Linked DNA regions of Saccharomyces cerevisiae S288C. Each later gene encodes a partner of the first gene's protein in a complex. Each region holds a gene or a part of one and is shown on either strand. Other genes may lie near its edges. A codon is read from its position in the direction of its gene.

Evidence for each region. Proteins that work in one complex are often made in the same cells at the same time.
Region 2: the proteins of MXR1 (region 1) and TRX2 are in contact, whole or in part, in a crystal structure (PDB 3PIN), measured with the Saccharomyces cerevisiae proteins. Residues at the interface, in NP_010960.1 of Saccharomyces cerevisiae: Trp27 (codon at 1,442), Gly28 (codon at 1,439), His31 (codon at 1,430), Gly173 (codon at 1,004), Tyr174 (codon at 1,001), Ala175 (codon at 998), Cys176 (codon at 995), Pro177 (codon at 992), Thr178 (codon at 989), His179 (codon at 986); in NP_011725.3 of Saccharomyces cerevisiae: Trp30 (codon at 1,136), Cys31 (codon at 1,133), Gly32 (codon at 1,130), Pro33 (codon at 1,127), Asp59 (codon at 1,049), Val70 (codon at 1,016), Ser71 (codon at 1,013), Ser72 (codon at 1,010), Met73 (codon at 1,007), Pro74 (codon at 1,004), Gly90 (codon at 956), Ala91 (codon at 953), Asn92 (codon at 950).

Annotation. Positions count from the first base shown.
Region 1 is NC_001137.3:232,579-236,456, reverse strand, and holds MXR1 (peptide-methionine-S-sulfoxide reductase), read right to left. Parts: upstream 1,521-3,878; coding exon 966-1,520; downstream 1-965. Other genes in the region: SAH1 (adenosylhomocysteinase), read left to right, coding at 1-687; YEN1 (crossover junction endodeoxyribonuclease), read right to left, coding at 1,717-3,878. UniProt on the Saccharomyces cerevisiae protein: Has an important function as a repair enzyme for proteins that have been inactivated by oxidation. Catalyzes the reversible oxidation-reduction of methionine sulfoxide in proteins to methionine.
Region 2 is NC_001139.9:912,005-915,189, forward strand, and holds TRX2 (thioredoxin TRX2), read right to left. Parts: upstream 1,224-3,185; coding exon 909-1,223; downstream 1-908. Other genes in the region: SER2 (phosphoserine phosphatase), read left to right, coding at 1-808; YGR210C (uncharacterized protein), read right to left, coding at 1,499-2,734. UniProt on the Saccharomyces cerevisiae protein: Participates as a hydrogen donor in redox reactions through the reversible oxidation of its active center dithiol to a disulfide, accompanied by the transfer of 2 electrons and 2 protons.

The sequences.
Region 1 (3,878 bases):
GCTGGTTACGGTGATGTCGGTAAGGGTTGTGCTGCTGCCTTAAGAGGAATGGGTGCTCGTGTCTTGGTTACCGAAATTGACCCAATCAACGCTTTACAAGCTGCCATGGAAGGCTACCAAGTTGTTACCATGGAAGATGCATCCCACATTGGTCAAGTTTTCGTTACCACCACTGGTTGTAGAGATATTATCAACGGTGAACATTTCATCAACATGCCAGAAGATGCCATTGTTTGTAACATTGGCCATTTCGATATCGAAATTGATGTCGCCTGGTTAAAGGCTAACGCTAAAGAATGTATTAACATCAAACCACAAGTCGACCGTTACTTGTTGTCTTCTGGTAGACACGTCATCTTGTTGGCTAACGGTAGATTAGTTAACTTGGGTTGTGCTACTGGTCACTCATCTTTCGTTATGTCTTGTTCCTTCTCTAACCAAGTCTTAGCTCAAATTGCTTTGTTCAAGTCTAACGATAAGTCTTTCAGAGAAAAGCACATTGAATTCCAAAAGACAGGCCCATTCGAAGTTGGTGTCCACGTTTTGCCAAAGATCTTGGATGAAGCTGTCGCTAAGTTCCACTTGGGCAACTTGGGTGTTAGATTGACTAAATTGAGTAAAGTCCAATCTGAATACTTGGGTATTCCAGAAGAAGGTCCATTCAAGGCCGACCACTACAGATATTGATCAATTCAATTCCCATTTCAGTTCTTCTTTCTCACTATTTTTTAATGTTCAAAAACTCAACGGTTTGATCATCAAAAAAGATCATAAATAAATTGCAAATATAAAAACAACAGCTAACAATCCTATCACAGTATTAATACTAATACATGTGATACTAAGTTACGTTATCGAAAAGATAGATCCTGTATACCTATATATATAATAAATTCTTCAACAGTAAATATTTCATTCATGCACTTGACTTTTTTTCATAAATAAGGGCACGTACACTAAAAAAGCTACATTTCTCTCAGATAATGAGTAGGGCATGCATATCCCTGTGGATTCTTATCTAAATATAACTGGTGGTATTCTTCAGCATCGTAAAAGTTCTTGATTGGTTCAATAACTGTGGCAATCTTATTACCCCATTTTGGTTGCCATTCTTCCTTTATTTTGGCTAATTCTTTTAAATCAGCATCTGAATGAGCGAACAATCCACTGCGATACTGTGTACCTTTATCAGGTCCTTGTGAATTAGATGTAGTAGGATCATGGATTCTAAAAAAGAAATCAGTTAATTCTCTCAAAGTTATCACTTTGGGATTATAGGATACTTGTAAAACCTCCGCAAAATCTGTGTCACCACCACAAACTCTCTTATAAGAGACACTAGAGGGGCTATCCTTTTTAGACTCTTCTCCATTAGCGTAACCTACTTTACAATCCACTATACGGTCATTCAAATACTTCCTATACATATGTTCTGTACCCCAAAAACATCCACATGCTAATGTGATTAATTTATCCTTGGCTGGATCATACTTAATGGTTTTTGAAATAAGCGACGACATTGCAACTTGATTTACTTGTTAAGTTTTTGACGTTAGAATATAACTGTCTTTCCAATTAAATCTATATATATGATATTGAAAAATGTGTCTCTGTCTACTCTTGTTTATATATGCCCTTCATTTTACTCATCGCAACTCCCTCGTTTTCGGCGCGATCAACTGTGGTGGCGGATTTTTTGACGCTGTGCCCGTTAACTCATTCAATAGTGCTACTGCTATCACTGTCACAGGCTACAAACCGGTCGACTGTATCTTGTGCGTCTGTGACAAGTTGGTCAAGGACAGAGGAGTGTTCTCTTTCTAACCTTGGAGCAGTCAAGTTTGGAGGCAACATCTTAGTACCTTGAAGGCGAGCATTGATTGTGATGCTTGAGCGTGATTTTAAACCAGACTCAGGCGGATTTTTCTCAGCATTAGTAGTTCTTGACTTTTTTATTGGTGATATTTCTATTACGTCCTTCCAAACGTCAACCTGTTCGTCCTGTGTAAGATCCCGAATTCTTTTACCGGGTGAACTATCTAAAACGCTTTGGCTGTTTGTAATCTCATCTACAAAAATCAACGAATCATCGTCATTATCGCTGTGTTCATCGACGGTGGTCAGTCTTGTGGGAGCCGGTATTTCTTCCAGACTAGTATCTTCGTCTGTATCTACAAAAAGCCTTTTTCTCACAGGTTCCAGGATTTCCTTTCTCGACTCGCCTACCTTTCCGATACTTTTAATCGGCGAAGTATGCTTTCTTAAAAACTCATCCAAGTTATTCTTCTGTGGTAGCCGAGACTTATTCGATTTTTTACCTTTCTTCTCTTTTTCTTTCTGTATAAGTTGCTGTGTCTCATAATATTGAATTACTAATGGATGCGATTGAGGTATCAAGTATTTGGGTAACCAAAGACTATTTGGGTGTTCCATTATATCCATCTGACGTCGTGTGGGACTCTTGCTTCTACTGGGAGAATTACTGCGCTTCAAAGGAGATTGAGAAGAAATGGGTATATTAGGCAAGAATGTTGTATACCGTATTTTAAAACATGGTATTTGGAACTTTCCACCATCTATGTTCATAATTTTTTCTTCGGTAATCCTCATATTACCTTTACCTATATTATCGGACTCATCAATTGATAAAAATTCTCTTAATAGAAACATCTCGTGCATAGAATCATGAAACCACTTGTCGAAGCTAGAAATTTGAGGCAAATTCAAACTTTGTAAAAAATATTTCAGTTCATTGAAATTTAAGTTTCTGTAGTGTCCGTTTCCAGCCATATTTATGTATTTATCACTGAGAACTTCTTCATCAAAATATGGTTGGACAATGGGGTGAAAATAGTGCATGATTGCGACAGTTGATGGCCAGCCTTCAAATGAACCTTGATTCAATAAAACAGGATAATTTCTTCCAAATAGCTCGACAGAATGATCCTTGCAGTATAAATATAATCTTTTTTGAAACAATCTATACCGAGACTTCCTCAGACTTTCTGATGTCAAATCTTCTAAATTGAAATCTTTGAAAATGTCATAAAATTCCATGGAAAAGTTAGGATCTTCGCATTGAGCCAACTGCAAAGATTTGTTTTTACCCAAACCCTTGACTCCACGATTGTAATCGGCACCTAATAGCACGCTGAAAAATAAGAGAGACAGGCGATCAAACTTCTTCCCTGCTACTTTATTAATTTTGGGTAGATCTATAACAGTAACAAAAGATTCTTTACTATCATGATGTCTACTGGGACTGTGGGAAGTTATTGAACTTGGGCCAAAATCATCGTAGAATTTCGAGTAATTTTTCAGGATTTTTTCTCCCCCAAATACGAGAGTATCTGAATCGTTACTTAAAATGAAATCTACAGCCCCAGAAACTTGCAGCCAAACACACTGGGCTTCTCCCTCCCCACATGCGATTACATATGAAATGTTCATCAAGTCTAATAATTTCCGTACAAGACTGATGAACTCAGGGTCAGATGGCGCTAGCAATCCTTTACAATTGCCATAAACTTCATGATTCTTAACATGCTGTTCCCAGCTTGAATAGTACTCTTTCTCATCATCACAAGTAGTAGCGTTCTGTTCGTGGTTAAATTTCCTTTTGAAAGAGGGTTTCATAACTCCGTCAAATACAAGCAAGAATTCGACGTTTAAACTCAGTAGTTCTTTTAATCGAGATATGAAGTTTATCACAGCTTTTCCTGTAGTTGTATAACTTCTGCTACCATAATATTCTTGACTACTGTCGATATCACTATCACGCGGAGAACGGGTAGGACTCCTTGATCTTGATCTAGATCTGGCGCTTATATCTATATTTTGGATAAATCCACACTCAAATAGCCATCCATATGCGTCAA
Region 2 (3,185 bases), on another chromosome or scaffold:
GAAACTATCGGCCAGAGCTACCGATATATTCATTGAAGTCGCAGGATCGATTGTTCAAAAAGACCTCAAGAATAAGCTGACGAACGTCATTGACAGTCATAATGATGTTGATGTTATTGTTTCTGTCGACAATGAATATCGTCAAGCCAAAAAGCTCTTTGTCTTTGACATGGATTCAACATTAATCTACCAAGAGGTCATCGAATTGATTGCCGCTTATGCTGGTGTTGAAGAACAAGTGCACGAGATCACAGAAAGAGCCATGAACAATGAACTTGATTTCAAAGAGTCTTTAAGAGAACGCGTTAAATTATTGCAAGGCCTCCAAGTCGATACACTATATGATGAAATAAAACAAAAGCTAGAGGTCACCAAGGGTGTGCCAGAACTATGCAAGTTCCTTCACAAAAAAAATTGCAAGCTCGCTGTTTTAAGCGGTGGTTTTATTCAGTTTGCCGGTTTTATCAAGGATCAGTTAGGTTTAGATTTTTGTAAGGCAAACTTGTTGGAAGTTGACACTGATGGAAAATTAACCGGTAAAACACTGGGTCCTATCGTAGACGGACAGTGCAAGAGTGAAACCCTTCTGCAACTATGTAATGACTACAATGTTCCAGTTGAAGCAAGTTGTATGGTGGGTGACGGTGGTAACGACCTGCCAGCCATGGCTACCGCCGGGTTTGGGATCGCATGGAACGCCAAGCCAAAGGTGCAGAAAGCTGCACCTTGTAAGTTGAATACCAAGAGCATGACTGACATTTTATACATTCTTGGTTACACCGATGATGAAATATACAATAGACAATGAAGAAAATAATGATAGATAGATGTAATAGAGTTTCTTTTTAAAATTGTTTATTTAAACTGGTAAACATGATGTACTTTACGTAGCGTTAATATACCGGCAACTATACGTTGGAAGCAATAGCTTGCTTGATAGCAGCTGGGTTGGCACCGACGACTCTGGTAACCTCCTTACCGCCCTTGTAGAAGATTAGGGTAGGCATGGAAGAAACTTCAGCTTTTTGAGCAACATCTGAGACTTCATCAACATCCAACTTGTAAAAAGCAGCGTCAGAATATTGTTCTGCAAACTTTTCAATCATTGGTGCAATCATTTTACATGGCCCACACCATGTGGCAAAAAAGTCAACAACGACTAACTTGTCGCCAGATGCTAAAGCACTGTCGTATTCAGAAGCGGATTTTAATTGAGTGACCATTATTGATGTGTTATTTAAAGATATCGTAGACTCTCGTGTATGTGTGCGTGTATAATTCTTGCTAGACAACAAATAAAAACTGGTCCTCGTTATTCTCTTGTCAGCTTTTCATCCCCCGAATGGCTTTCTTATATACTGATATCCCTCTTTCGGCTGGCTGGAAACTGAACGCGCTTAGTAAGAAAAGAGCCACCTTGTAGGGAGCATCCTTTACTAAGAGTATAAACAATTACACATATACTTTGATGATTACTTAATATTCACTGGCACTCAAGTTATGCTGATCTTGGAGCGATCTTGAAGCCGAGTATGTCATTCTTACCGGGCTCAACAAGACTTTCTTCACTGACTCTCACGCCGCCAACGGTTTCAATGCTTGCAATGGTGACCTCGCCACCCATGATATACCTGGCAACTTTGCCAACAGGGGTTCCTCGCTTGACCAAAAAACAATCTCTAAATACGTTGGTTCCGTTGCCACCCGTAAAAGTCTGGATGTTCTTCACAGTGTACACCGGTATTAGACCAAGGATGTCCGTTGCTGCTTGCAGAACCTGAACAACACCCGTAGATCCGAATCTATACAGGACCAAATCTCTGATATTTTCAATTCTGTTAAGGATCTTGTCGTCCAGTGGCTTTAGTTTGTCTGGCTCGTCCTCAAATGTGTCAACAAATTCCGTGCCCTCCTCGTATAATATAAAACCTTGCTTTTTCAATTTCCTCAAAAAAACTTCCGTCACTGCACTGGTCAGTACAGCTTTGGTGTCAGGATACTTTAGCATGATTTTAGAAACATTTTTATCGGCGTCAGGGTGGTCAATCTTGTTGAGTGCCAACACAGTTGGAAATTTCTCCATCATAAAGGACTTGACCACTCGAGTGATCCATTCGTCATCCCATTTTTCCAAAGGTGGTAGTCCCTTCAACCTGTCCAGGGCTTTTTGGATCATGGGCGCATGTGAACCGTACCCACCGAATTGCGCTTGAAGTGTGTCCACTATGCTAGATTTCGTTGCTGTATGTTTACGCACAATAGACCCCCATCTTTTCTTCAGGTTCCCCTCAACCCAAAGCCTGATTTCGTCTTGCAGCCATTCTATATCGTTCAATGGATCATATCCTCTTGTGTTCTTCCCCTCTGCATCTGTGGTTCCACTAACGTCCACCACATGAATAAGAGCATCTGCGTGTCTTAAATCATCCAAGAATTTATTTCCAAGCCCTCTGCCGGAATGCGCTCCAGGCACAAGCCCTGCCACATCCAACAGTTTGATGGGGATATGCCTCTTACCCTTGCTACACCACCCGTAGTTAGGTTTACAAAGATCTTCCTTGCCAAATCTGGAGCAAGCACACTCAACTTGCAAGTAGCCGGTTGCCTGATTTGGCTCGATCGTGGTAAAGGGAAATGCTCCTACCGCCGCACCTGCGTCCGTCAAAGAATTTAATGTGGTGGATTTCCCTGAAGATGGCTTACCCACAATACCAATCAATGGATCCCTGGGCATACTGGCTCTATTTCCGTTTTATTCTTACAGACAGCTTATACTACAAGTTAGTTGGACAAAAGCTAAAAGACGGAAAACGAAAACGCAAAATGAAAATAAAACCAACTCTCATTACAATTCATCCTAGAACACTTACACATCTGTTTTGCACTGCATAGCATTACATTTCTTGCATATCTATCTATTCGAGAAAAAAAAAAAAAGGCATCGAGTGAATTTTTCACCTTGATAAAAAAGCCCTTACTAACCCTACAATAAATTGTGCCGAAACCCTCTGGAGTTTTCTAGAATATTCTAGCCCCATCAGGGCTAGAATATCCTAAAAGTTTATAGTTGACGAAAATTTTTCAGCGATGAGATGCACATTTATAATGCTATGATGTTCAACGCAAAGGAAATCATAGCGTTATCGGGTAGGTTCGCATCGTTAGCAATAGCTAGTCGCATATAT